4 linked regions of the Drosophila melanogaster genome follow. The protein of the gene in region 2 interacts with the protein of the main gene of each other region in a pairwise test. Each region holds a gene or a part of one and is shown on either strand. Other genes may lie near its edges. The genes, in order: CG16978, Lcp65Ag1, CG2082 and PAN2.

Region 1 (5,859 bases), on a different chromosome or scaffold from region 2:
TTGCCCACGTTGCGTATGCGTAATCAAGTTCTTAAATCCGACTCAAAGGGCAATTGTGTTGTGACACCCAACAAGTTTTCATAGCCGGCAGCTAACATACTTTTTAAATTATTTCACGTACATCATTACGTACTACAGTTTTAATGGCATTATTACCACATTCTATTTACCGCGCAACTCGTCGTGCGAGCTTTCCATGATTTTTCCCCTTTTGGAAATTTACATCCTTTCGGCTATTTGTGTGTTTATTTATGAAGATTAAAGCGCCAATTAAAACACTGATTATATGCGTTAAATGTGGCTGAGAAAACTCTGGGTCTTTAATAAAGTGCGTGGAAAATGGGGTGCGTTTAATACGGGAAACGTTTAAATATAATTGCAATTTTAAAAGAGAAACCTGCTGCTCGTCCTGCGGCAAAAACGCAGCACAATTGTGCGGTTTCCATTATTTACACCTCGAATTCGCTGCTGTAATTGTTATTTGAACGGGGTAAATAATTAGCAAAAGCAATCATTTAAATTTAAGTCAAAATTTAAACGTAAAATTGTTTAATTATACGAATTCAGTCATTGCTGTGTGCGAAGAGAATTTGCATAGTAATTGATTGCATTGTAATCGAAATAATTGATTGTTCCGCTCGATGTTTGTTTTTGATTGATTTGCCGAGATAGAAATTACGCTTTAATGGTGGTAATTAAATTTAGATCTGTTGTATGTTTACAAACAAATATTTTCTATTATTCCATTTTGTTCAAAGGGCAGAAGAAAAATTTAACTACTTTCGGAGGTAAGTTTGCTTAGGTCTTGCGCAACATTTTCTTCTGATTAGCACTGCTTAAAATGTATTCATGATGCGGAAATCGATTTAATTTCTCTCGATAGCCTTCATTTAGTTATAGTTATGTATAACTGGTTAACGCTATGCTGAAGACTGAAATTCGGCTATTAACACAGAACGTTGGTTTAACCATAAAATCGCATAAATATGCTAATTTCTTTTTGTTTTCGTTTTCATCGTAATGGTATTCTAAGCTCAAAATTGGTTTCTTTTTTTTCTACTTATTATTCACCTAATTAGCATAAGCTGTATGATTAAAGATATTTAGAGAGGGGTGCTATTTTAAATCGACAGTAAAAGTGAAAAATTCTCAATGATGAAACAGGCGGAACTGATTTCGAAATGGGTCAAGGCCCATTGGATTTGTTAGATAAGATCAGTTCATAAAATAATAAATACGTTTGTTAAGTAATAAAATCTAAAGCATTTTATAATGCTTATTTCTTAATCTTTTAAAAATTCTTTTATTTAAATTGAGTATTTTAACATCGTAACATTTATCCTATGTGTATAAACTGGAATCCGCGAGCGTCTTCCTTTGAGTCTCCTGCGGATCTATCGGTATCGAATCCAGAATTCCTCACCGCATCGTTGCCCCAATTATTTCTATCATTGCCACTGTTATCCAACGATTCCAGTAGCTTCAGAGTCCTATCGTCATCAGAACTGTGAACACTATCGCTCCAGTCCAAGTTGCCACCTGAAGATCGTGTTCTTCCTCCTTCGCCACCGAGGTTTATATTCTGAAATATACCCGATGCACCGATCGCGGTATAGATTAATCCAAACAGCACCAGCAGTCGGAGAATGGATTGCATTTTTCTTTCGATTAGCTCTGGCTACAGTTGACTGAATGTCAGTCGGCTCTTGAGCTGGGCTTTTATAGCCTTGCCCTGGGTTATCAGCAGTTCTAAGTGGTTGGTTTAAAGGTGATATGTATACTTTTAGACAGAGGTGAGTGCGGGAAATTCCAGCTTAACAGCAACACAGCTTACCACAAGCTTAATTGATATACTAAACGAGCTATTAAATTCAATCTATGACTAGTATTTAATGCGTACTTAAAATCGAAATTGCGGAGTAGGCAACATTCATTATCAAAAAATGAAGATCTCTTGATTCTCTCTTGATTGATTTCATTTTAAAATTTCTAAAAACTTTCTTTTATTTCCCTTAATAATTATTATTGAAGAACTAGATTATTTACAGACAATAGGATAGCATGACTTAGCATTACAGCACTACTAAATAATTCCATATTAAGTAGCCGGTTCGGTGGTAATATCCATAAAATCCAAAGTCGTCTCATCGTCATCAAGACTTGGATAGTCAGTTGAGTTCTCATGAGCTGCATCGTTCTCCTGCCAGCGTCTGATCAGCTCGTCCATTGCATTCATGAACTCTTCGGCACTGTTGTATCCACTGCCAGATTCCTCCAAAGCATCATTGGTACCTTCCGGATCTTCAATAAGGTCGTGCGGATGGCCGGCAATTAGAGCAGCACAAATGATTCCGAATAGGAGAAGCAATGATATGATGCGGCTCATCATGCTGATCAATGCACCGCCGGCAACTGCATAGCCAGATGCAATTTCTTTCGTTTTTATATGGATCGTGTCGGTCAGTAATAAGTTCAATGGAATTCTGGAAAATCCAGTCTGGGCTAAGCCCAAGTGGCAAGCTGCTTCGATTTCCTCATTCATATTTATGCGTTGGGCGGTACTAGAGTCCCCTCTGAATCATCGCAGACCCAGCAAGAGCAAGCATTGCGCATACGACACGTTGCCACTTGCGGATCAACAGTCATGCAAATAAGTCTATGATTAATTCCAAATAATTGCTATGTCTGTTGAGAAAATTCTCGGCCATGCCAATCATCTGTCAGTTACTAGAGTTGTGTTAGTTAGCTGGGTAGTCAGAAAATGTACTCTAAATAAGGGATTATAAACTTAGCAAAGCGACTGTATTTCATCTTTCCTTGTAGGCCGATGTGAGTGCTGCCGGCAACCCTTAAATGACTTGGCTGCCAGCATCGAGCACTTTACTCCGCTTCGTTGCCTCAATCCTTCGTTGGCTCCTCCGGCACTTTATTCAATTTTCCAAAGCGCGCGCACTCAGCTGCCAGTACAACCTCACTTTGCCACCCCAAAAGACGGGAGCCCATCCACGAAAACCTGTGGTAAAAACATGCAATCTACTCACGAGGCTAATGCCCTTTTATGGCATTGGAGTGTGCCGCATCAGCAAAACGGTGCTGAATCGTTGCTGCTGTAGCTGCAGCATTCAACCATCTAACCACCATGCGAACAACACCATTAGATGGGCCACCAGACTCGATTCACGGGGGCTGCAGCTCATTATCCTCCGGGGAAGCAGACGCCCGCCCATTCACCGAATTGCTGGTGGACTTGTCTGCAAATATGTCGCTCATTTGCATCGCCATCATTGGAGTCTAAGACTGCGCCATTGAAATCAAAGTAAGCTGTTACACGGATCGTTTTTAGTCATTTCTAAAACGTTTCAGAAAATTCTTTATATAATATAAAAACTCTGCTGGCAACTGAAATAATAACCACAAATATGTTTTTAATTATTTTAATATCCTCAACTTCAATTCTATAATTAATGTATATTTTAAAAAATTTCAAACTTTTTCTGATGCTTTTGTATATTATGTCGACTTGCTAGCAAATGTCAGTCATTTAAAAATCGCCGCATACCAGCGGCGCAACAAATCAAAGTTGGTTTTGAGTTTTGTTTAGTGGTTTTTAAGCCGACATGAATACCCACTTCTAGGTGTATAGAACCTTAGCAAGTGCCATTAAAAAGATACAACTGAAATAGCCCAGGCACTCCGGCATAAAAGTACGACAGTCAGTCAAATTAACATTTCAGTCACACAATGACCTTCACCTAGAAGCCATCAAAGCGTACCCAAACGACGGCCCAGCCCTAGCCCCAAATCCCCTGGCTTCACCGGAGTCCAAAGCCAAAACCAACTTCAACGCAACGCGACCAAATAACATAAAAACCAAAGTCAATCAAAAAAAAGAGGAGGAAAATAAATATTTTTCAGCCAATGTCTAAATACCCTTTTCGAAGCTTCAATGATCAATATCATTGATAATACTGAAGTTGTAAAAATAACTCGATTTTAATTATGACCAAAAATGACATCTAATCGTTTAAATTTTCTTCATATATACCTTAAGCTTGTGGGTATATTTTTCAGTGTTACAAACCTCTTTCAAAAATCGAAGAACCCCCTGGAAAGGTAACCACAAATATATGAAAAACGAGACAAAGTCAAAGCTGGCTTTTGCTCAGTCGGTCGCGTAATTTTGTTTTCGTAGCCACTTGATTAGCACGCTCTGAGCCATGTTTAAACGTGGGCTGTTTAGCCAAACGGCAGCCGATACGCCCGACCTGGTCAAAAGCGTACCGTCCAATAGCAGCGATGGCAACAAAAAGAGCTCCAATATCGGCGAACAGAATTCAGCTAAAGACCGCACTAAAGACTTTGACGCAAAAAACGTGCGAGTACGTGCCGCTGATTAGTAAAACAAACAAATTAAATTGGTCTCTACTTTATGCCCGATTTTCTTCTATTTTTCGTCTTACGACTTTTGGCTAAGAGCTATACCAAAGAGCTGTTTTGGCTCAAAGAGATTTATAAACTTTTCAAAGAGAAGCCAAGAGAAGTCAATTAAAACAGATGTTATAGTTTTAAACAATATATTCTCTTAAATAAAAGTATCAACCATCATATAATTTATCTATAATTGCTGGTCTTTAAAAGCCAGGTTAATGTAAAAAATTCCCATTTCCAATGCATCAAGTGGTTCTTGTTCGTGATATTTATAATTCATATTTAAAAGATTAGCTCTTTTGACCATCAAGGTCCACCACAAATCGATTTGATCTTTGCGACTACTGGTCTTGGCTTATTTGCAGGCATGGCACCTGCTACTGGCCAACAGATCTATGAGTTAAAATGAATATTTATATAAGAATGGATTGCATTGTCATGAGTAGGCAAACGTCTCGCATTCTTGGCTTTATTACTTGGCCCGTGGAGAAGGAGAGTCAGGTTTGTTAATCCATGCCGAATCAATATGCAGGTCGCGGCTTTGACTCAATTCTTATTTTGCCCGATACGTCATTATAAACCGCAGTTGTTTTCGGTTGGCGAGGGGGTTTACTTGGGCTAAGCCCATTACTGGACACCAGTTGGATAACTGCTGTCGATGCTGCTGGTCTTACACCGTAAAAAGTTAGATGGCCCAATTAAAACAAGCAAATGTTGCTAAGGAAATAGTCTAACAAAAATGTTAGAAAGTAAGGATTTTTAAAATATGAGTTTATTAAATATAAATTTATTTTATAAAATACATCTATAAGATATAAGATTTATTATATATATACTTAAGCAAGTTACCCATAATGATCCTCTAATGTTTTTCTACCCATATCAATTGCAGTATTTACCCCATAGCACTACCCTTTTTTATTTTCAGTGTACTGCTCCCACTGTTGCATTGTTCTCGGTGGCGTTCTTAACGAGCGCAGCATGCAAAACAAGGCGCAAGACGCCATTTGGCTAACAGAAACACACAGAGGGAATCGCAGAATCGTTTTTATGGCCGCTGCGCCCCCTGAATGATAATGATAATCGAGTCCCAACTGGGTGAATCTCTGGCTTCGCCCTGTCCACCGGACAGTGCAGTCCAGCCAAGTCGATTCTGGTTGCCTCTGTGAATTTTTCTGCCTGATTGTGCGCACGCGCTCATAATCAAAGAGCCTTCTCCTCCCAAACCCGCCAACTTGGCCAACTCGCTGCTGGGCTGGCCTTTTATGATGGATGGAGCGTTGGCGAGCGATTCGCCTTGACGTTGATGCGCCATCAAGGAAAATTATTGCGTGCGCGCAATTAAAACTAAAATAAAGTTGCAAAAATATGAATCCAAATTTGCATATACCAAAAAAAAAGTGCATCTACATCTGGACAATGCAACCACAT
Region 2 (5,894 bases):
CGTATACACGCTGTGACCAGTTTCTATTCTTCGAATATCTATAATCAGTCGGTTCTTTTTCGACTACGACCTTCCCCATATGTTAATCAAAAGCTAATTGTATTCAAAACTTAATTTCGACTTCTTCTGAAAAATAAAATAATTATGAATTTTATGAAAACAAACACACATAAGTTCAGGTAATTAAATTCCTTTAATATTTAACAAGTGGTGCTGGTTGACTTAGTTCCCATCCTTTGAAAACAGGGATAGGATTGGTTTGGTAATGTTTGGGGCTATTAACAAGGAGTTGGATAGTATGGCTTTAAAATTGCTAAAGGTCAAAGCAATTTCACTTAGGCCACGGGGGCAACGGGCAGATGAGCACCCTGGGGCTGGAATCCGTTCTTATCGGCGATGTAGTTGACTTGGTAGGTCTGGCCATCATCAGCAATGAAGCGGTAGGATCCACTCACAGAGATAGCCTCGTTCTCAGTTCCAATGTCGTTCAGCTGACCTACAGCTTGAGCAGCCTGTCCATCGGAGGTTTCCCAGCTAAGAAGGAAGTCAGTGTCAGCTAGGTATCCTTTTGGGTCATTTCTCATAGGCAACTTACTCGTATTTGAAGCTTTCGGGTCCAACGTCGGATTCAGAGCGCACGATTGTGGGTTCCTCAGCGGCAGGAGCAGCCAGAGCCACGGCGAAGAGGGCGACGAAGACAATCAGGAATTTCATGGTGATTGTTGTTTGGTGTTTTGATCTGCGGTTCTCGAACAGTTCGCGACGAATGATGCCCTCTGATGGTTGTACTCCCTTTATATAGATGGATGGACAAACTTTGACGACCGAGCCCAACGCTGCCAAACTAGTCAAACTTGTAGTGTATAAAGCAAAATGTGATAAATGTGTGAAATTGAATTCGGCCTAAAGCTGAATCGTTAAAAGCCCTATACGATATGTAAATCGGACATCTTCATCTATATAGTTTGCATAGTTTCGCATTCCTTTTTCAGCTGTCTTCTCGTAGTTTCTATTTAACTGGAGCTAAAAAAACATAAGAAGTCATGGCAAATGCATTAAGTTTAACTAATAGCAGCTAAAAAAAAGTGCCCAGAACTGACAAAAACAAAAAGAGTCAACAACAAAAATAAATGTTTTTACTTGGACTCATATATTTTATGCTGATAAGCACGCCTAACCTTTTTAAAAACGTGTTGATAATTTTTTCACATTTTTATTAGTCTTGTTTCTATCGATTTGCAAAAAAAAAACTTTTTGCCACGCCCAGTCTAGCTCCCTACAACCGCCAAAACTACCACGCCCACATTTTCGAACCATTTTTCGATATTTTTCATACTTTTATTAGTCTTGTAAATTTCTATTGATTTGCGAAAAACCTTTTTGCCACGCCTACTTTAACGCCCTAAAGCAGCCGAGTCTGTCACGCCCACATTTTAAACAATTTTTAAATTTTTTCTCATTTTATTTCATAATATCTATCGGTATCATAGAAAAATTATGAAATTTCGCGTTCGCATTCACACCAGCTGAGTAAAGAGTATCCGATAGTCGGGGAACTCCACTAAGCATTCTCTCTTGTTTTAGATAACAGCTTATCATATATGATGAACTGTTGTTATGTCAGGTTTAGTTCTCAATATTATTGATTGATTAATCTAAACACAGTTCTCAAAAGTCTATAACTTCTATTACTTATAACTTATAACTTCTATATCACAATAAAACTATAGCACTTTGAATATTGTTTTTAAAATAGACCATTGGGAAAAGCTATATCTTAAAAAGTATATTTATATTTTACGTAAATTATCTTATGTTTATAGATAAGTGATCAATGATTTCCTGCTACAATTAATTCCCATTTAAAACAAATTACTTCATGTAATAATTTTTTCTTTAATAACACTTTAGGCTTATTGATTTAGATTCTGTTCTCCTTGATAAGAACGGTAATAAAGGTTTTCTATTTCCTGTTAACCGACATTAAAAAGGAACTAGTTAAAAATGTTGAAAAACTTATGCCACGGGGGCAACGGGCAGATGAGCACCCTGGGGCTGGAATCCGTTCTTATCGGCGATGTAGTTGACTTGGTAGGTCTGGCCATCATCAGCAATGAAGCGGTAGGATCCACTCACAGAGATAGCCTCGTTCTCAGTTCCAATGTCGTTCAGCTGACCTACAGCTTGAGCAGCCTGTCCATCGGAGGTTTCCCAGCTAAGAAGGAAGTCAGTGTCAGCTAGGTATCCTTTTGGGTCATTTCTCATAGGCAACTTACTCGTATTTGAAGCTTTCGGGTCCAACGTCGGATTCAGAGCGCACGATTGTGGGTTCCTCAGCGGCAGGAGCAGCCAGAGCCACGGCGAAGAGGGCGACGAAGACAATCAGGAATTTCATGGTGATTGTTGTTTGGTGCTTAGATCTGCGGCTATCGAACAGTTCGCGACGAATGATGCTCTCTGTTGGCCAGGGCGCGTCTTAAATAGTTGGACAACCTCTCGATTATGCTGAACGCATCCGAATTAGTCAAAACATAATGTGAAAAATGTATATTATTGAGTACCAGCTATCTCTGAATGGCTTAAAACCTAACACAAAATGCAAATCAACAAGTTTAGGCAAGTTGTTCAAATTGGTTTCACTAACTCAGTTGTTACTAGCAAAAATACTCGGCTGATATTAATAACCACATGAGAAACAAGGAAAAATTATCAATAGATGGCAATCTCACAAGCAGAATCTGAAAGCGGCTGGATAAATCGGCGGGACAGTTGGCGGGACAGTTGGCGTGAGATTCTGCGGGACACGCCGGAATGATCCCTAATCACCAGTTTGGCTTCAGAAGATCCCACGGATCGACCGATCAATGTCACTGGAGGTATTCGAAAAAAAAGAAACATTTCTGTGCCGTCTCAAATCCTGCACGGAGAGGAGAGTATTCCAAGTTAGATGCGGAAGCTCAATAAGCTCATCTAGGCCCATTAGAGCCGGAGTAGCACAAGGCAGCGTCCTTGGAGTGTCCCGCTGACACCAGGTGTTCCGCCAACTTGTCCGTCGACTGTCCCGCCGACTGTTCCTCCAACTTGTTCCGCCGAAATCCCGTCGATTGTCCCCGAAGAAGCCACAGACATCATCCAAAATTAACTGGATGCAATGGGCCCTAGGATGCAAAGGTGAAACATCGTAGTGAACGCGGAAAATCAATTTTCACTTTCGCACAGAGGAGAATGCCGTACAATCTCTTTAAGCGGAGACTGAATCTCTAATTTACTCACACTCAAGTACTTAGGGATGACTCTGGATCGCAGGCTAAGCAACAAATTTGTGGAAACTATGTACGATTCGAAATAAGTTATTTATTTTTCATAAATATTGACTTATTGCGAAATGATCACATTAAAAAGCCATTCTAAAAACTTCTTTAGGAGATGTTACAATTGTTAAATAATTTTTCCGAAACTAAAGTTTCAAAACGAACATATTCATGTATCTTTAATCAATCTGTTGAGGTTTTATTCATAATTGAAGGATTTTTCAGTAAAACAATATTAACGATGGATAGCTCAAACCACGGGGGCAACGGGCAGATGGGCACCCTGGGGCTGGTATCCGTTCTCGTCGGCGGTGTAGGCGATGGAGTAAGTCTGGCCATCATCGGCCACAAAGGAATAGGTACCCTTGACGTTGAGAGCCTCCTCATCAGTTCCAACGTTCTTCAGCTGTCCGGCGGCCTGAGCAGAGGATCCATCGCTGGTCTCGTAGCTAATCAAGAGCAAAGGGTAAGAAAACAAATCCTTGTCACATAGTTCACAAAACATACCCATAGTTAAAGCTTACAGGTCCGACATCGGACTCCTGCTTCAGAATCTGAACATCGGCGACAGCCAGGGCGAAGAGGGCGACGAAGACAATCAGGAACTTCATGTTGATTTTTGGCTTATGTGCTGATCTCGAAGAGTTCGATGCGAATGATATCGATTGACTTTGGGATGAACTCATTTATACATAAATTGTGAACAAGTCCAAGGTGCGGTGACGCTAATCTAATTCGCATACTGAGCATAAAATGCATGATATTGAGTTCAGTTTTGCTTTCAACTCAATGGTGAACGTTTTTGAGTGTTGCCATTTCAGCGCTTCAATTTTGATTACATTTTATCAAATTTGTTTGAGACTAGCTGTGGAAATTTAATATTCATAGATCTAGAGATCTAGAGAGATGTGGATGAATTTAAATTAACGATACATTTATTTATTTATTATATTATTTTTGAATGGGAAATGTAGACTTCTTTCAATGAAGTCCTTTTAAAAATAAAATTCTAATTAGTAAAAAATTCAAAAGAAATGGGAAAAAGTAGGCCAGGCATGTAACTTTATGTAGCAATAATTGCTCCAACAACTCGGATTTATTTGTTAGGTATAAGAAAATATTAATACAGTTTTTAAGCAAGCTTATTTCGTATACAAGATTTAAATAAAATTTATAAGTAAACTAAACTAAAACTAGATTAGGGTAGGCATTTTCCATTAATATAGGTGGAAATAGGGAATATGAAATCCCATTTTCTGGCATTCTAAATACGTGGCTCTTACTGCATATCAGAAAGTACAATTAAAATCGACTAACAATATATATAAAAAAATACTTAAGATATCGGTCCAATCATCAGATCGATCGATCTGATCTTTTGGGATGAGTACACGTTGTGCTATAAATATTTCATTTTTTAGAAGTTGACTTCTTGTGACCCAAATAGGAAATTGAAAAACAGATTCTTTTATATACATTCATTATTTTTTATTATTTAGTAGCTCTACAATTTTGACTTTTGACTTGGCCAAAACGGATTTAGGGCAGTTAAAGCAATATTAAAATCATGGTATTCCACTTCGAACCACTTAGGAGGCAACGGGAAGATGGGCACCCTGGGGCTGGAATCCGTTCTCATCGGCGATGTAGTTGACTTCGTAGGTCTGGCCATCATCGGCAACGAAGCGGAAGGATCCCTGGACAGCAAGGGACTCGTGGTCGGTGTTAGGGTACTTCAACTGTCCCTTAGCGTTAGCCGCCTGGCCATCGCTGGTCTCGAAGCTAATACGAAGGTCCAGAATCAGTTAGGCATTTTTATGAGGACCCTGTCAGTCTACTTACGACCACTGAAAGTTTTCGGGTCCAACATCGGATTCCAAGTTAATAATTTGCGCTTCGTTAGCCAAAGCAAAAGCGAAGATTGCTACAAAGACGATCAGGAATTTCATGTTGAATTTGGGCTGGTTTGGAGATCTCGAAGAGTTCGATGCGAATGATATCGACGGAGTGCAGGATGAACACTTTTATATTTGACTTGCAATCTAATCCACGACACTGTCAAACCTAAAATCTTGCATATCTCATTAAATGGACTCGCATTTTGGAAATCGCAAAACTATAATGGGATGCTTCATCGGGTTTTTCGAATTAATGTCCCTGCACATACATTTCGCATCGTATCAAGCTGGAATGACATGAAATAAATAGTCGTCAGGCAAGATAGTTCTACTAATTGGCTAGTTCACCACTAACAATGGCCATAAAATTAAACAATTCTTAGACAAATTCAAATGTGTAGCACTTCTTATTGTTCAACTTCATTTTCACATCCCTTCCTAATATAACAATCGGAAAATAGCAATGAGTTCAGTTCGATCGATTCGCATACGTATATTTAGAACTTCATTGAGCATACCAGCCAATAGTTCTGTACATCAACGACAATAAGTATGTAAATCAAGTGTGTTCAACTTAAAATTGGGCATGGAAACTACGTCAGCGCTCTGTTAGCTTAAAGATCGATCAATGCGTCCAATCGTTTCATTCCAAAACTAGTTTGATCATTGTAGCTTTTTATTTCAT
Region 3 (8,062 bases), on a different chromosome or scaffold from region 2:
TCAGCGCGGGAATTTCGGTGACCAAAGCTTCATTTGCATTCCATTCGAACGACCTTTCACTGGCGGATGATCGATGTTCGCATAAGCCATGCCCATCTTCCCCCCATCCTCCGTCCGCTGGGCCAACGCATGCATTTATTCCATGTCGTGTACACTCCTATCGTTCCGCTCGTGAGTCCAAAAATAGCTGGGCAAATAAGTTGGGTGGCGTGAGTTCGCGACTACGACGACGCGAACATAACGAGCAAAATAAATGAACGATAAAAAGCCAATAAAGAGCGGCATAAATAAATGCGTAAATATCGAGCGTATACATTATATCGTTGCGGAGGAATTTCCGAAGATTGCCTGCCACTTTGCAGGGCAGGGGCGCGGCTCAAGGGGCGTGGCAGGAGGCAGGAGGCATAAAGGAAGATTCGGCAAACGCATTTGCTCAAGTGTCGCCGTTGTCATCCTTCGGCTGTTGGTTTTTCCAGGACGTGTGTTTGTGTTGCCATTTGGGCTTAAGTGTTCCGGGCTGATCCTGCTGGTGCGGGTGGTTCCAAGGGGGAACAGGATGCTCCTGTAAATGTAGGACGGGATTTAAACTGTTGCAAATATTTAGTGGGCTCTTTAATATATCCAAATATATCCAAATTCAAAACGTTAGGTCTTTTCCATTAGTCTAATTAGTAAAATACGATATAAGAATAAATTGTGTATCAAAATTCATGTGCTTATATTCCCTTTTTGGCTCGACAATTTACACAAAGTGCTTGAGTTTGTTTTTATATTTTAACCCATTGAAGAACAGAACCCCTATGATGGCTTTTGCCCAAGCTCCAAGGCACCAAAGGCACCGAAAAAATTGATTGGATTTGTTTACCAAGAGCCATTGCTTCCTGTTTCGCTGACTGCCGACAAGTCGTTGTTTATCTCTTGGAATTTAGCGTCTGTTTGGGGGAAAACCTTGAAGTTGAGTTCCTACTTTCACGCTTAACTTTGCGAATTGACATAAATGGGATATTTGCGCTTTGCCAACTCCCCAGATACTCAGATACCCAGCTACCCAGCTACCCAGCTACCCAGCTACCCAGTTACCCAGCTACTCAGCCAACTACTTGGATCCGCCTGAACCCATGCTCCGCAGCTTTTGCCGCCTTGAGCAATCGGCTTACACACTATCAATTGCAGCCACCCTAGTTTTAGCACCACCCCCCTCCCCGCTCTCCACTGGGATCCCATTCAGCCATTGTTTGCCACACCCACATCATCCGCTAACCGCTCGAAAAAGGCGTATATTCCCCAGGTGCCCATTCACCTTCCTGGGCCAACGCCTGCCCGCCCATAAATCCACCTCCTTGGCGGATTTTGTTGTGGGTTCGAAGCACCTGCCTGGATAATTGTGGCTGACAATGGTGTTTGTTCGTTGCTCGTCGTTTATGTGCATGCAGCGCTGTTCCTTCGCCCGCCTTTTGCTTAATTCCTTTGTCTGACTGGCGGCTTTATGCGCTTTCAGTCATCATCATCATCCCCATTTGTTTAATTAAAGCACGTGTCGAAATTGAAACACAAAAAATTATGACACATATCTGCTTATGGCCTTGGCGGAAATGCATGCAAATTTTGAGAAGATCAGCGAATTGCTCTCGTAAAACATACATTTAATATGGTTCATTTAACTGAAATGAAACAACCTTTTGAAATTTTTAAAATATCTTCAACGGTTTTTCTTTCTGTGCTCTTGTAAATCGAAAGAATTTAAAATCGCATGGAGTATCAAGTATCCAAGCCTTCAGTTCATCCAATATTTTTGGTTTACCCCTAATTGGCTTCAACATTTTGCGCTTTTCTCATCCAACTTTAAATTACTTTCACTTTGGCCAGCCAGCATTTTCGAGCTGCATCATCGGTAGTTGCGAAGGGGATGGCCTTCGATGTCAGCACATAATAGTAATCCATTCCATCATATCACCGTACCGGCCGCACCGCACCTCTGCACCTATGCTCTGTGACCCTTTTTCCATATCCATATCAGAAATTTCGACCCGGCGGCCACGCCCCCACCCACAGGCACAGCCCCTCGTGGCATAACCGCAGCCGGCTTGACCTAGGACACGCATATTTCTAATGCGCATTTCGCCAGAGAAGTGGGCGGAATTGGGGTGCCCGGGTCGTCCGGGGAGACGGATTTGCGCATTTCCCGCGCGCTGACAAATTAGCACATCAAAACAAAAAGGCCAAAAAGGCTTAGAGCAACAAGAGAAGAAGGGCTGCAAAGGCGAGAGCCCGCCGACAATAAAGAGTCTGCTCAACAATGCCACCGAAAACAAAGTAAGACAAAAAGGATTTTTACATAAACCCACGCAAGACACCCACACAAACGCAGGCCAGCAGAAACACACACACACACTCTTACAGCGACGAACGTGAGTGGGCGCCAAACTAAGCGCGCCCAAAAGTAGGCAACGGAATTTTCTCGGCAGAAGCTGTAGGTGCGCGTGTGTGCGTGCATGTTGCAGTGCGAGCGTTGCCAGATGGAAAGAAACGTATATGTGAATGTTCCCTTGAATTTTAAACTGCAATTACGTTCTTTAGAGGTAATTGAAATATTTGGGATTGCTTGACGTAAACAAATGAGAATGAGAAATATTTATATTTTCTGGTTGGTATCTAGAATCACTCTTTGCCAAAGCTAAAAATACTATAAAATTACACCACAAACAAATAAATAGTTCATAAGCTGTATTTAGCTAGGTTTTATAGGTAGCATATTTGTCTAGATGCATATTTTAAGTAATCGTAATGCATTGAAGATTCCAGAAACTACTATTGACGCATACAAAGTCAAAGGACCAGAAACACAATATCTAAATGTGATATAAATGTGATATAAATTTAATACTTTTCAACACAAAACTCAGTTGGGAGTCGAATTTCGTAATGCGTAGTTGGTGGGCAACCATCTGGCCACGCTCTGTGCAACACCTTCCCAACAAACTGCCCTACGGCAACATTTCAACACTTGGCCCACCCCCAACCGCCTCTTTTTCCCCGGCAGCATCACTGCGAGAGCGAGAGAGACAACGGTAGAGGGGGAGCGAGTGGGCAGAAGGCGATTTCACTTGGCCATTTCACTCATCATCAGTTTGTTTTGCTCCCCGTTTCGCTCAGCTTCGTTTCGCCTCGGAAAAGATCGGCTTTTCACGCCGGCGATGGCGATGGCGTAGCATTTTCCCATGATAAGCCAGTTTTCCCAGTCGTCGCCAGGCGTTCGAAGATTGCGCATTCGTTCAGAAACGCGGTTCCGCCCGATTCGCATCCGATTTCGGTTTCCATCCTCGAGTGCTGCTGTGCGCCTGATAGAGCCCCGTTCGAGCCACGCTTGTGTGTCCCGCAGTTCCTTTGAGCAACCCAGTGAAGTGAAGCTACCGTCGCCCGAATCCCACACCATGTCGAAGCCGGGAACCCCCAAGCACGGCGCCGGCTCATCCTCAGCAGCTGCTGCCCCCGAGAAGATTAGCGTGAGTTCCGACATAGCAGTTTACCGCCAGGAGGACAGCTTTTCGAAAAGTGCATCCTGGCTGATTTGGGATGCAGAGCATCAGAACACCATAATATCATGTTCCACATCACTCCCGTCCGTCAAGTGCGTTAATGCGCTTTTCTAGAATTCTCTCTGTGCGTATACGTAATATTCGTAACACGCCGAGCTGCAAGTGCGAGCGACTACTTCTGTTAACATCTCAAGTGTCTGAGTGGTATAATCTTTCAAAAAAGTCGGGATAAATATTTGCACGGAAATTAGTGATGAAATTGCAGACGAGTGAATTAGTTTGCTATAAGACCAAGTTGTTCTGAATAATATTTAAAAACCTACCTAAATTAAGAAATTATGAAATATTTCTGAGCACTTGTACCACGAAAAAGCTATTAGTTTTTCTTCCACATGAAAAGGGCTAAATAGCACGTAAATGGAAAATTATACTATCAAAAAAACGTAAGGTGTTGAAAATGTAATCAACTAATTTCGTGACAGTTCGAGGGCTTTGTGGAATTAGTCTACCTAAAATTCATCCCCTTTACTTCCTTCAATTAAAAAAGGTGAGCGCGAAATGCTAAGCCAGACTAAGCCACCGCGATCGAATAGAGAAAACAGAATACAGAATATATTGTAGAAACATATGCTGGTGACCTCGAATTCCCCTTTTGGCACGGGGTTACCTTTTGTAGTTGGGTGCTGTTTGCTTTTTATTTTTTTGGCCCTCGGTGCCCAGTGAACTGGGCTCAAAGGGCATAGCATACTTTCTGTCTTGCGCCTCATAAAAATTGCATAATTGTCGTTCTGCATGTCGTTGTTTGTGCGACTCTTTGTGTGGTCCTGTTGATGTGGCTATTGGAATGGGGGCGACTCAACCATTAGCCTGGAACTGCATGTTTCTTTTTACGTGCCATTTGCGGTCGCATCTGGCACACAGCAACTGCGTAGAGTGGGCCAAAACGAATCTAGGTGCTCAAATGGGCAAAATTATGGTGTTCGTTCGGTCTTATTGGCCTGCTATTTCCCTCTTTTATTAGGCAGCTAATTATATGGCGACAAAGTGGTGCGGACTCTAAACGGAAATAAAGGAACATATCCAAGTTGAAAGTTAAAGTGAATGCACCCACTTCATTGAAATATGGTTAATTTATTGTTGAAATGCTACATGTTATTTGATAATTTGCGGAGAAAACTAATAACTGGAATATAAAAATTAAATCTTTATAAATATTTGCTATGTAGCATTTTTTCACTTATTCGCTTTTGGCCCTCGTGGCTGGCTCATAATTTCCCCATTTTCCTTTTCGACTGAGCTCATTAAATCCTGACCACAATGTGAGCTGCGCCACTTCCACCCCGACCACATGGTGCACACCCTCTTGTCCTGCATTGCAATCTCAATCCAAATATGCTGACTAAAGGGCTTTGCTGGAGTAAATCTCTGCGATATATGGCTGTATTCCTGTCCGACTCGCTTTGTTTCCCAGTTTTCCGCAGGGCTCGCTCATCCCCTCAAGCGGAATCTGAATGCGATGGAATTTAACTAGGGAAAAGCATAATGGGGAGTCGGCTGTCCATATAGGGGTATGCATTATACATGATACTGCAGACCGGGCCAGACCTATACCACTATTCCCACGACTTTTTCCATTTTCCTTCGACATTCTGCCCGCGGGTCTTCCATTGGCCGCCTTGAAGAAACTTCCCATAATTTGTGCTGGCCCACACTCACACTTCAGGATATAAGTCCTTTTCGGTCAAGTTTGCGTTCTTTGTTCCGCCCAGCCAAGTTTCTTCATCCTCCGAGTTTGTTTTCGCCGGAGCATCTGGCGTGTCCCCTGTCCACAAGACGAAAACTTGTTGACTTCGAAGGCATCGAAAAACACGCGTTTCTCCTTTTATTTCAATTTTTTTTTCATATTTTTTCCTCTATGCATTGTTAAGTGAGTGGGAAACGGTGGCGTAAGAACTTTGCCACCGGCAAAGTGTCAAAGTTTGCAAGGCAAGGTTGCTCATACGCCCCGTTGCCCCCTGCGGCTGCGGGCGCAAACTTAAAGAACATTTAATTGGTGGCTTTAAGCACCGGCCTACATGCCCGCGTGATTTGTTTGTGTCTATTAAAAATTCCCTGGCAATGCGGTCGCTTCGCCAGAAAAGTGTGCTGGAATTTTGTTTGCACAACTTTTCGCATCACTTGGGGGCTTTTGCCTTTATGCAACCGACCCCCACCCCTCCCCCTGCAAGGTTTTCCATAAATTCAAACACTTTTACCCAGATTTTCACCGCCCTCATAACGGCATCCGCAGGCTGTTGGAAAAGTGTCGGGGCATAAAAATCCCATCAAGTATACGTCAAAGTGCGGCCAACTTGTGCTCCTCTTAGATAATGCCTGGCAAAAAGGTCCTGCACGAGAAGTCAAAACGATTCCAATTCCAAAATGCTGACTGTGACTTTTCGCTCTGGATTTAATTGCATTTCAACTAGATAGGCAAATTCTACTTGGTCTAGAAGAGCCATTAAATGGTTCACATCTACATATGGCAACTGAATGTTTTAGTCTCCGAAAATCCACCTGCCACCAATCTTTGAATCGGACTACTAGGGCAGAATAAATATGTAACTATGTCCCAATTATAATGCACTGCACAATGGCACAGTCCACCGATGATTACTATGGATACAGACTCGAATTTGTGTACATTAGCAGGATTTGCTGTGCCAAATCAGCTGGGAAATTAAATATCATATCAATTATGTGGCCTGCACAATGCACCTGCAGAATTCAATCCAGGCAATTGCTAATTGAAACATTTCGCCCGCCACTGGGTATTCGGAATATTAATTGAGATTAATGCGTTGTTAATAGAATGAACTCGGAAATGGCACAAGTACGAGGGACCAGAGGCGGCCCATATCCGATAATTAAATCTACATTACCATTACGCATGCTGGCCAGGAAAAGGACGGCAAAAAGTGAGGAATAGCATCAACAGAATGAGCCGGGCGAGAAGGAGGCATATCTATGTGGGCAATCCACCCCCAGGACGACACATGACAGCACTTAACCAAATACCAATAAAATCCTCAGAGCTGGGGATTTTGGGGCGTTGGGGGCATCCCCAAAGTGCTACGGTGCAAGTGCGGTTATTAGACAAAATCCATTTACACTTGAATTCGCTTTTGGCCAAAATGAAGTGGCCAAGACGGGACCTGGACCTTCTGTCCGTCCGCCCATCAACAAACTGGGAAACGGACTGAAGGAATGCGAATGCAATAAATTAAGCCCGGGGAGCAGTCCCACCGATTGAGTTAGGCGTGTCCGGCGAGGAAAATGCTGATTAGCGGAGAAAATAGGGGATTGGGTTCCGGAGGACGGGCCTGTGGCCTTAATTCAATGGCAGGCACTTTGTTAAATAAACTTTCTGTTCAAGTGGCGAATACTTCTGCAGCAGACTTGGCTCTCTCTCGAGAGTCCTTAACTAGGTCCCGGCTTTGTTTTACCCGATCCACGCTGATGAGTTGAAACCCTGATGAGCCGTGTGGTGGGCAGTGGGGGATCAGAGATAAATGGTGACCTATATCCACCTGGCTGGCGAAACACTAGTTTCCAATGATGGTGTATACCTCTGATGGGCAATTAAACAAGCACAAGACATTTAGCCTGCATGCTGATGGATGGAGTGCTGAGGTGCGAACTTTTAGCCATTTCAATCTTACAAACTTTTCGACTTGCGTTTAACGATTTTTTGAACAAGCAACCAGATGACAACTTCTGGCTACAGCAAGTTTTCTCGTTCTTGGATAAAATATATTGTAATTGGCAAACGTTTGTTGTTTGCCTTTCGTTTTTGCTCTTGGAGCAGCTCAAAGGATATTTCTGATTCGTTTAGCAGATTAGAAACAGTCAGAAGATAATAGATCAATATTCAAACGAATTTTAATGTAATCACACAAATATGTACTCAATCTTATTAAATGTAAGGTTAGATACCCCATTCTGAAATAATGGGAGTGCGAGGGAGAAATTTCAAAATAAGCTTAAAAACCACACATCGTTTTGCGGAACAGAGTGTATCAGGCATCAAGCCGTCAACTGTGAAATCCATCAGCAATCCTGCAGACTGAACCCGACGGAATGACGGCTCCTGCAAACGCTAACACAAGGATGTGAGTCCTGGGAAGGGAAGGGATAGGAAGCGTTTTGATATGATGGATACGGGGCTGCCGTGTGTAATGGGCACTTAGGTCGCTGCCACATGACTGCGACATTAGAGGGGAATCGGGGCAAATGGGATTGCCGAGGGGGCACGGGTTTGGGTTCACGGGTTCACAGGAATCAAGAATCGGGATCGAGGCTGAACGGCAACGTGAAAGCGCAGTCAGCCGGCAGGAAAAAAGCGATACGAGGATGTGGAGGAGATACATGAGCGACCAAGAGCTATGGCAACACGGAAAAGCAACAGCAAGGAGGTCAATGAGTTCAGTACAGCGACATCCCGGCAAGCTGCAGCATTCAGCTTTGGCTTGGGGCAGCGCCTCAGC
Region 4 (10,407 bases), on a different chromosome or scaffold from region 2:
CTGGGAATACCTCGTACATTAAGGAAATGATGTTTTGTTAAAAAAAAGTATATTAAAAAGTATATGTATTTAAATCATGCCAGTCCATTGCTTATTCAAAAATGGTTGCGATTATCGCAATTACTTAATTTTCATTATGTGCTGTATTGCTGTTTTCTAGAATTTCCACATGTTCAAAAAGAAAAATTGTTCAATGTTTTTGTGAATCTTGTTCATTTAATATCATTGGAATTTTAGCTACCTAATCTCTGTAAATTAAAAGGCTGCTTCCCATTATTTATTAGTACTGCAAATAAAAAATATATATAAGTATATTCATAAGCGAAACTTGATAAATTAAACAATGTACTCACTTGCAGCGTGTGCCCATGTCCAGAAACAATAACACTTCCGTCATTGCCCACCGAGACAGTTCGTCCATCCGGACGCTTCCACACCGACACACTATCATCCCAAATTCCTGCTTGATCGTCACGAGCCACGAAGTTTTCTCCCTGGACGCGGCCATCTTTGATGCTGCGGCTGTCCCTTTCAACAATCAGTCCTTCAAAGCCCTTTGCCAAGGTCGCTCCACAGGAAACTGGGGACTACGCCTGCCCCTTTGGACAAAAAATCCTCCGGAACCCACATCCACAGTGCGACCAGGACGCTCCACATGGAACTGAGGACTACGTCTGCTCCTTTGGACGACAAATCCTCCAGAACCAACATCCACAGTGCGACCACTTCGCTCCACATGAAACTGGGGATTGCGAAGTCCCGCAGGCTGCACAGTGGAGTAGGCGGGCTGTACAGCAGCTAGACCTGGTCCTCTAAGCGTATGTGTTCCTTAAAATAGTATCCATAATAAGATTTATGCACTGCCTCGAACCATGATTCTTAGCCACCTGGTCCTCCAGCGTCTTTTTTGTGCACATACGTGATCCCCTGCTCATCCGTATAGACGTGATCTGCTGGCGACGATGCGTGATGGAACTGACCACCTACTCCTGGCACCTTGTATACGCCATCGTTCTGCCCCCGAATGTAGACTTGATTGCCGGGTGTTCCGAAAACGTGAGGCCCATCATGTCCGTCGTATGTCCGCTGGAGATCGGCAGCTGAGGGAGCAATGGAATCGTCGATTAGTCTCCGTTTGGGCGAGACCATGGTAAAGGGATTTTTCACCAACGCACAAAACAGCGCAAGCGATCGGCACGAGAAGTCCAAGCAAATGCATTGTCATCTATGTTCCCTGAGTGAATGGTGAGCTCTAACAACTAACTGGCTTGACTTGCTCGTCGTGGTATTTATAAGTAGGTGCGCAGTAGTCCAACATCAGGTTATTCATCAAATTGGCGACAGCATCTCAAAAATTCACAAACGCCGCTGGTGATAGGGGAGGGCGAATGAGAATTTCAAAGGAATTGAATCGATTGACGTGCACGATCCCTGAACACATCTGTTGCCCGCTTTTGCCTATTAGCCCGATTGTGGATTTGATAAGCAACTTAGATTCGCATCAACGATCAATAAAGCATCACTGATAAGAAATACAACTTTTATGCTTTGTTTTGATTTTGTTATAAAGATAGACAAATACAACATGAAATACCAGGAGCTTCGTAGCAAATAGCAACGCATTAAAACATAATAAAATTGGGAGAAGCCGGGATTTTTTCAGATCGGTGTAGCGTTTGTACTGACGATAACGTTGATTATGAGTTTCGTCGAATTGGCATCGGGTTTGGCGACGAATCAGTCCTCTGGAACCTTCCACTGCAGCTGCTTTCCGCGTTCGTAAAGATTCTTGAGAGCGTTGGCAAACTTCTTCTCCTCCTGCAGCTTCAAATAGTGCTTGTAGAGCTGCAGAGTGGTCCGTGCATCTTCGATGGAGTCGTGCGTCTCGGACTGAATCTTAGTACCTTTGGCATTAGGAAAACCCAATTAGATACAATTCCAAATCGAAGAAAACCCCTATACAAACCCAAGAAATGCCAGGCTAGAAATCTTAGGGAAACCATGCGATGATGTGGCATGTGAAACAGGTGCACCGTATCTATTATCTGCTCCGACGGTACATAGATGTTTATGACCCTGCAATCACATGGAAGTTTAGTGGTCTATTGGTTCCTTACAAAGCAGGGCATCCCACCTAAAGTCGTTCTTCAGACCATGTCCGACAAATATTACTCCTACGTCAACGAGGTATTTTAATTTCTGGTATGAGTACTTCAAGGCAGTCAGTCGCTTTTTGCTGAAGTTAGCGTCCAAGTCGCCAGGCTTGATTCCCGAGAACTGAGTTAGGTAGTCCACGACCTTCTCCTGGGTGGATATGTAATCGTCCATGAATGGAACTCCTTCAGCCGGGCCTTGTCTGTAAAGAATTCATACCCGTGCTTATCGAGATGAATATTTTTAAGTTTCAGTTAATGAATTACCCTCGTATACATGAAATCCGGGCCACACTCATGTGGCATGGCTTAATGGTCGCCGTTTTGCCATCCGGGCGAATCTCATTTTCCTCTGGATTTAGGGTAACGAACTCGGCATCCATTGCGACCAGATCACCCGACTGCGGCATTTCATCTGACTGCAGGGGCTGCAGCGTGGCGTCTGCACTTAAGTTGCCTAGCATAGGACTCACAATTTCCTGGTAGGATTAAGATTCAGATTAGCATTCAGCAGACTCAATGCTATATTAAACTATTAACCTCTAGAAAAGGGTTGGATAGATTTGTTGGCGAGCCGCTGCTGCTCTCTGATGGAATGGTTTCTTCACTTTCCGTGACGGTCGAGCTAGTAGTACTAGCAGACTCAGAGTCATCCTCTACGTGTCTGTAGAAGAGTATGCAAGGAACTTTCCAATCCAATGTGAACCATACCGATTCTTGTGGCGAAACGGGCGATATGCTGTTGAGCGATATATGAGCAATATTAATCGAAGGCCATTCACAATAGAGATCTAACTTACCTAAAATCATTAAAAATATACCATTGACTCTGAGGGTCATCTGCAGATTCAGCCAGTTTCATGGTGTGGTATGGCCGCTGCACATTTATCAACGATACCAAGTTCTTTTGGGTACCATCATCGACTTGGCACACCACGGCATGCAGCGCGTACATCCGATTGTTGTCCAAGCCCTTTGTTGGTGGCTTTTCCGTTTCCTCCTCCTGTTCCGATTTGCCACTGCTTGCATCTGATTGAGTTTGCACCTGCACCTCACCTTGGTCATTGATGCCCATAGTAAATGTAAGGGGAAACCAGGACTTTTGGCGTCCATTGGGAGAATTGTTGACAGCATTCGGTTGGCTTGTGTGCGATGGAGATTTTCTGCACAGTAGGTACAACAATATGCATAAGACGACTGATTCAGTTTCGATTCGTCGTAACTCACCGATCCGGATGCATGAAATGGCAGTCACTTCGCGAACAGTTGGCTCCATATCGACACGGCTTGCTTGTGCTCAAGGAAGCGGCCGCATCAACAGTCGTCTTTTCGCTGCAGCGATTGAGCTGGCGCTTCAGGAAGGTAATGTCTTTTTCGTTGTTGAGGCCACAGTTAATGGACAGAATTTGCGGAAGCGAAGTCACCTGAAATTCAGATGCATTACATATGTAACTTCTTGCTTGGTTCACTATAAAGTTAGCTCCCGACCTTCACGCTCTGATTGGTTGGCGAAAACTTCTTACATCTCTCGCAGAAGGCCTGAATACTCTTCTCGGAGCTGAGAGATCGCTTCAAAATGGTGCCAAAGTTGAAATACTGATCACTATCTTTGATGTGGTTGGGATACGACAAATTGCAGGCAAGTAGAATGCTTTCCTTTATCTTCTCTTCTTGGCATTTGATGCAGCGGTTTATACAGATTTGCTTGGTCCCAAAGATCTTACTGATGTCAGTTTCTGCGTTGATCTTACTGCGTTCCCGATCGTCCTCCTTGGAGTTCTCATCTGTTCATATACGTACATATGATTAGAGTGTTAGTTAAACCATTAATTCACCTGCCCACCACTTATGGAATCGTAAAGGTCCGAGGAGCCACTTGTTTCTGAAGAGCCCGCGTTTTCCGCTGCAAAATAAATCGAAGTTTCACTTATTTGTAAAGGATAAACTCGGCTGTGGTTACCGTTCGTTGATGTTTGCACAGATCCGCTGTAGGTGGATGCGTTCTTGCTAGAATCGAATATTTCGTAATGCATTTGATGCAAAATGAATCGGTTCCAGTTCTGAGAGTGTGCATAAATTAAATATCTGCTTAGGAAACCATGGTATTACTTGCCTGTATCAGCGATATTAGATTGACGTTCGATGAGCGGTCGGTGAGAATCAATCCCAGTGCCGAGGCCTCTGGCACAGTGCGGAAAGATCGCAGGAAATTGCTGGCCTGGCAAGGTGAAGAAGCTGAAAGGAGCACACATAAATACTTAAACTAAGGATAGTTAAGTTACACAAGCAAACTAACCGGTACTTTTATCCAGCATGTTGAAGAGGAACCCTAGTTCGCAGGACAGGCAAAACTCCTTGATGCACGAATGCTCCAGCAGCTTCACGCGAAGCGCGTCGGTGAAATACAAAATCTGTAGCATAGCATTGCAGTAGGAGTTCGGTAGCGTTGCCTCCAGCCCCGCGAAACATGTTTGATTATGCTGGTCAAAGTCAAAGTCCTGGGTGCCCAGCTTCGTGTACTTCAGCTCGACTTTGCGATACCGCCGTGGAATGATTTTCACACCGTTCTCCGCCTTGGTCGCCGCCGCAGTTCCATTTCCGTTCGGACTGCACACGCCGCCCTGCTCAATCACGTACGGAATTTGATTACGACGGGCGGTGCGTGGGTTTGGCGAGTATCCAATCGGTCCCTGCATTTTCATGTTGCTCAGCACTTCGGGATCAATGGTCTTGGGCCTGTGGTAGCGGTAGCGCAGCAGTTCCTCCGGCCAATCTGAGAACCATTGTGTGCCCGTCGTCAAGTGCGGTAGCATGACCGACGATAGCGGAAAGTTGGTGTCCGTAATGGAGACCATCGGCAGCTGTGGCACCACGTCCGCAAACTCTGTGCTTCGCGAGTAGAGATTGAACTGCGGCTGAGGCGTTTGTACAGCGGCAATCATGTTGATGTGGCCCGACTGGTCCCCAAATGCCATGGCCTGTGAAGAGGAGCTAATGTCGAAGCTGAGGCACTGGCTGCCGTTGGTGTTGATCTGGTACATGGATACTCGCGGCTCGCTGAGCTCCACAGTGTCCACCAGCTGAACCTGGCCGTAGCTGGACACGACGGCCAGTTGGGATGTCAGCGATGGCAGGAACTTCAACATCTGCGGATCAATCATCACTTGAATGGGCGCGATCAGGCGCAGCATGCGCAGATCGTAGACCATTAGGAAGCGGTCGATGGCCAGGTTATTTTGCCTTCCGCTGTAGCCGCAAGAGATTAGCAGATTTCCCTGGACACTGAAGTCCGAAAGGATGTTGGTGTGCGTCTTGATTGTGTGCTGAACACTCAGGCTGTTCAGGTCGCGCAACGTTACCGTTCCCAGCTGGTCGCCGGCAAACAGATAACGTGAATTCTTGCGTAGCACCGTGCATCCGCCGGCACCCACATGCTCTATGCGGGTTTCCTTGAGCGTGCGCAGGTCGAAGTCGATAAGCTCGTCCTGCAGTCCGGCCATGACCAGACGATGCGGTGATAGCTGCAGCATGCTCACCATCTCCTTCATGTTGTTCGATCTGCAAGAAATTGAAACCTCACTTTCGGGGAATCTTTGTGCCAGCGCGGTGGCTTACTTGAAGGTAAACTTGGGCAGACCCCTGCGGATCTGATGACGCAGCGAGGTCTGCGTGAGCGCCAGCACTCCGGAGTCCAGGGTGGAGATGTCGCGCACAATGTCGGTGGCGTGGACCTGAAAGGATGTGTACTTCTGCATGGAGTTTGTGTAGTACGATGTGACGTGGCCCTGCGGGAAGGAGCGAAGATTCAGGATTAGTAAGCCTGGCAGGCTGGACGAGGAACTCACGCCCTGGTTGCCCATCCACAGCAGCTCTTCGTAGTCGTCGAACGCCACGCTGGAAACGCCGAAGTGCTCCCCGCCGTCGGCAAGCACGGGCACAAGCTCCACATATTCCGGATCGGTGGTGCCGATGTTGAATCCATTGAAGCTGGGCGAAAAGTGCCCGTTTCCCGGCGCAGATCCCGCGTCATAAACACCTTTTCAAAAAGTAAACAGAAAACAAAGGAGAAAGCTTTAGCTGGCTTGCGTGTGTGTGTGCGTGTGGGTGAGCGTTGGCCCCAAAGCGACCCCTTGACCCACTTAGTATGTCTTCGGAGGCCCCGATGGGGTCGGTGCCGCAATACACGTAATCCATCTGCCGCACGCCGATGCCCACGCGACTTTTTATTGTTTATTTTTTAACAAATTTCGCTCAAAACTGCCAGCCGTTTTTGCGTTGCACCGATTAGAGTGACCCTGGCAGGGCTGATGTAAAAATACTCTCGCTTCTCCGCCAACGAACTACCTGTCCAACGCTGCGCGACGCCACTGTGCGTGGCAAGAAGAAGCACTGCAATGCTGCGTAGAGCTGCCACGACTGTGGGATCCGCATGTAAAAATTACGGCCAGAATTGCTCAAAATTCGCGAGAAACAAAAGAACAATGGCCGATCTGCAGCAGATTGCAAGCAACAACGAGCGCGCCGAGGCGCTGATCAACTCCATTGAAGCCGAGGCAAGTATTTCCGCCTGCCAGCGCCTGCGAACACTCGATAACCTACTGCCCCCCAGATTTCCGGCATCCAGCAGCAACTTGTGGAGCGCCAGAAGCAGGAGCTGATCAAGGAGAACGCTGCACTGGCCAAGGAAGTTGAGGCGGCTTTGGCCCAGCTGGTGCAGCTGGAGCTGCGAAATGGCAAGAAACAGATTCCGGTGCCTGGAGCCCGGGGTTTCTGCACCAGTGCGGCCCCAGTAGTTATGCCGGCAGAGGCTGGACCTGCTACCGCTGCACCCGCTGCCCCGGCTCCTAAGCCGGCCAAGGAGCCCAAGGAAAAGAAGTCCAAGGAGAAGAAACCGGCCGCCGAGAAGCCCGCCGCCGCTCCGGAGGCTCCCGTCGACGTCGGTCGCCTGGATTTACGCGTGGGCAAGATTGTGGAGGTGGGTCGCCATCCCGACGCCGACAGCTTGTATCTGGAGAAGATCGACTGCGGCGAGGCGGCTCCACGCACCGTGGTGTCCGGTCTGGTGAAGTTCGTGCCCCTGGAAGAGATGCAGAACCGTCTGGTAGTGGTCATGTGTAACCTGAAGCCGGCCAAAATGCGCGGCGTCACCTCGGAGGCTATGGTCATGTGCGCATCTACACCGGAAAAAGTGGAAGTGCTCAGTCCGCCCGCCGGAGCTGTTCCCGGCGACCTGGTTCACTGCGAGGGCTATCCGCGCCAGCCAGACGCCCAGCTCAACCCCAAGAAGAAGATCTTTGAGTCGTGCGCCCCGGATCTGAAGACCAACGGCGAACTGGTTGCCTGCTACAAGGGCGCCGCTCTCCATGTTCCTGGCAAGGGCAACGTGGTGGCCCAAACCCTGAAGAACGTCAATGTGAAGTGAGCCAATAAACGAAACTAAAGCTTTGAGCCAATAAACGAAACATCACCGCCTGCACACCATTTCAGTATCAGAACTTCATTATCATTCAGTTTCTAGTACCAGTGAAGAGTAGCTCTACAGGAATATCGGAAGCTCTACTGATCATTGGGATTACTGGTTATGTTTGATTATCGTGCAGATTCTGAGGTATTCATGTGATATTTTATTTTATTTCACACGACAGCAGTACATAACGACATTAAATTTATCATTAACAAGTCTATTTATATGTGCATAGGAAGTGCATAGGAGTGCGCCATTCCTACACACTTTGGCTGGTTTAAGTGCCGTCCTCAGCGATTATTGCGCTGCGCTTGCCCTTGGGTGCGGAACACGGCAATGGAATTGCTCTCCACCACAATCGTTTTGGTTAGGACGTCGTAGGCGGTGCGATTGTTCTTGAAGAAGACCATCAACACGCAAATGGGGAAGAGCAGGGTCATCCCCAGGTTCTTGATCAGCGCGCGGGCGAAGGAGCGCATCAGCGAGGGAGTCTGTGGCGGATAAAGCAGAGCCCTCATCGGCTCCCTCTGCGGCTGGAGGACGAACTGTGGAAGGGGCGGCCCCTGAAGCGGCATCACTGCTTCCACATAGTATATGCGTATCTTCATCAGCGACTTGCCCGGCGTAGCCCCTTGGTATAGGTATGTCCACAGCGCTTCGTAGCAGCAAACGATGAACTTGGTCAGCATTTCGATTAGCAGGAGGTCGGTGGACATCGAAATAAAATCTAGTGATGTGTCAAAGAAGTTCGAAAAGAGGTCTTCTTGGTCCAGGGTGCGCCGAATCACGTCCTCATCGAACTCTATGTTGAACAGGTTGACCACCCCGAAGGTAATGATGATTTTCACAATGAAAAGGATGAACATATCGATGGTCTCCGCCACGGCGCGCTTCCAAAAAGGTGACAGAACGTACTCGTAGCCGCCAAGACGCTGTATGATATCCAGCTGGGCCGCCTCGCCCAATATCCGCAGGCCGCTGAAGTTTGGCGCAGGCAAACGAGGCTCTGCAGCTGGTTCTCCCGGCGCAGCAGCCGAGCCCTGAACCAGTGCTTGGGGTTGTCCCATGGCGGCTGCTTGGAGAGCAGCGGAAGAAGGCAGTCCCGGGAACATGGTCGGGTAGTTGGCCATCAGGTAGTAGGGAAACATGAGCATCGCATTCTGGGCCAGCGTCGCCTGTTTGGCCCACTCGGCGAGGCTTTCGAAGTAGGCTTCCTTGGTGGAGCGCTCCGTAAGCTTCTGACCCGTCTCCTCGCCTTGTTCACCCATTTTCTCAGTCTCACAATGATCGATTTTGTTATTTGGCTGGCTTTTATTTATTTATACAAGTTGACGTGTATTGCAATCGGTAGGGTGTGTCGGCGTATCGCTGCGAATGACAAATACTGCTAAATACGATTCCCTGTGAATTTCAAGCAGGGCGGGAAAATTTAAGAAGACTCACTTTAACTTTTGATGCGAAATATTTGATAGTACGTAAAATTCGAAAATATATTATTCTAACTTTTTGTACATACAACTATAATGTTGAATAAAAAGTAGTTGGGCAACCGAACAAGAAGCTGTTTATCTAATGAACTAAATGTAATGCATTTTGTAGTTCTTTAATATATAAATTAAAAGCACGAGGTCATACATTACCCGTATTTACTTACTTTGAAATCAGCGACACAACGAAGCACATACAATTGTCTGAATATTTTATTATTACACAGTTCGAAGTGGTTTGATTTCTTCCTTAGACATAGCAACTTAAGAATCGAATACAATAAATCCGTTGACAACCCGCCATGATATTTTAGATTCACATTGACAAACAGGCGTGAATAAGTTCTTAAGGATATCAAGCATTTAAAAAGTACTGCGCCAGAAGTCTACACCTTACATTCGTACCCTGGCGTGGACGATTTTGAATGCATGCGTATCAAATACCTAGCTAATGTTGAAAAATAACATGTACATTTGATTGGAAAGTGCATTACGTTCTGTGGTTCAATTTTCAATTTTAAGTAGTTGGGTGTTACACGCGTATGTATGTACCTTTTATGATTTAATTGGAATAGATTTAGACGAGCAGACGCGATTCCTGGTGGACATGGAGATGGACATGGACATGAACATCGTTTAATACAGTGGCTTGCTCGACAATGAATTCTTCTACGAACACGAATAGGACAACTAACTAAATTGGCAAGTTGTTGTATAAATCGAATGTATATAAACAAGCATCGCCGTCTCACACACACATGTTGCAACACCGAGACGAACCGAACACTCGTGTCTTACAATTAATTAAAGGAATACAACTACATAAATACACCGCGTATTTATTGCCACACATTACCGATATTAAGATTCCCAAACTGCTGGTTCAGATTTGACGGTACTGAGGAGGTGGTGGGCCCCGTTGCGGCAAATCCGCCCGCTCCTTGTGGCGGTTGGCCAATGTTCAGCCCACTGGGCAGGGGCTGCATTAAGTTCATGGAGAGGCCGCCAAGCTGTGGGTGATGTTGCTGCTGAAGCTGCTGCTGATGTTGCTGCTGCTGTTGCGGAACAGCTCCAAAGAGCGGCATCCCACTGAGAATGCTCTGGTTCGTTTGCATAAGATTTGTTGCAGCTGCCTGGCCTGCGGCAGCATAGGGACTGCCCCCGGTGCTGGGAAACTGGGCTCCAGTAAAGCCATGGGAGCCGCCCATGCTCATCGCAGTGGCACTGCTGATGGCAGCATTGCTGAACGCATTCGGTGCAGCCATAACTGGCGAATTATACATGCTCACCGAGTTCGGCGGTG

What was found.
Region 1: the proteins of Lcp65Ag1 (region 2) and CG16978 interact in a two-hybrid assay, tested with the Drosophila melanogaster proteins (one large-scale study listed by BioGRID).
Region 3: the proteins of Lcp65Ag1 (region 2) and CG2082 interact in a two-hybrid assay, tested with the Drosophila melanogaster proteins (one large-scale study listed by BioGRID).
Region 4: the proteins of Lcp65Ag1 (region 2) and PAN2 interact in a two-hybrid assay, tested with the Drosophila melanogaster proteins (one large-scale study listed by BioGRID).

Annotation. Positions count from the first base shown.
Region 1 is NT_033779.5:13,141,209-13,147,067, forward strand, and holds CG16978 (uncharacterized protein), read right to left. Parts: upstream 2,415-5,859; 5' UTR 2,390-2,414; coding exon 2,099-2,389; 3' UTR 2,006-2,098; downstream 1-2,005. Other genes in the region: CG9928 (uncharacterized protein), read right to left, coding at 1,337-1,657.
Region 2 is NT_037436.4:6,132,819-6,138,712, forward strand, and holds Lcp65Ag1 (Lcp65Ag1), read right to left. Parts: upstream 2,457-5,894; 5' UTR 2,396-2,456; coding exon 2,277-2,395; intron 2,216-2,276; coding exon 2,017-2,215; 3' UTR 1,879-2,016; downstream 1-1,878. Other genes in the region: Lcp65Ag2, read right to left, coding at 336-534, 596-714; Lcp65Af, read right to left, coding at 3,562-3,760, 3,819-3,922; Lcp65Ae, read right to left, coding at 4,901-5,093, 5,154-5,260. UniProt on the Drosophila melanogaster protein: Component of the cuticle of the larva.
Region 3 is NT_033777.3:5,767,071-5,775,132, reverse strand, and holds the start of CG2082 (uncharacterized protein), read left to right. Parts: upstream 1-3,234; 5' UTR 3,235-3,431; coding exon 3,432-3,503; intron 3,504-8,062.
Region 4 is NT_033778.4:8,924,240-8,934,646, reverse strand, and holds PAN2 (Poly(A)-binding protein-dependent poly(A) ribonuclease 2), read right to left. Parts: upstream 6,479-10,407; 5' UTR 6,348-6,478; coding exon 6,293-6,347; intron 6,190-6,292; coding exon 5,999-6,189; intron 5,939-5,998; coding exon 5,769-5,938; intron 5,712-5,768; coding exon 4,450-5,711; intron 4,389-4,449; coding exon 4,267-4,388; intron 4,214-4,266; coding exon 4,114-4,213; intron 4,057-4,113; coding exon 3,997-4,056; intron 3,938-3,996; coding exon 3,642-3,937; intron 3,578-3,641; coding exon 3,381-3,577; intron 3,317-3,380; coding exon 2,954-3,316; intron 2,893-2,953; coding exon 2,694-2,892; intron 2,633-2,693; coding exon 2,421-2,632; intron 2,357-2,420; coding exon 2,135-2,356; intron 2,077-2,134; coding exon 1,967-2,076; intron 1,905-1,966; coding exon 1,738-1,904; 3' UTR 1,544-1,737; downstream 1-1,543. Other genes in the region: FANCI (fanconi anemia complementation group I), read left to right, coding at 1-30; AIMP1 (aaRS-interacting multifunctional protein 1), read left to right, coding at 6,548-6,706, 6,763-7,575; CG8237 (uncharacterized protein), read right to left, coding at 7,908-8,885; CG8243 (uncharacterized protein), read right to left, coding at 9,944-10,407. UniProt on the Drosophila melanogaster protein: Catalytic subunit of the poly(A)-nuclease (PAN) deadenylation complex, one of two cytoplasmic mRNA deadenylases involved in general and miRNA-mediated mRNA turnover.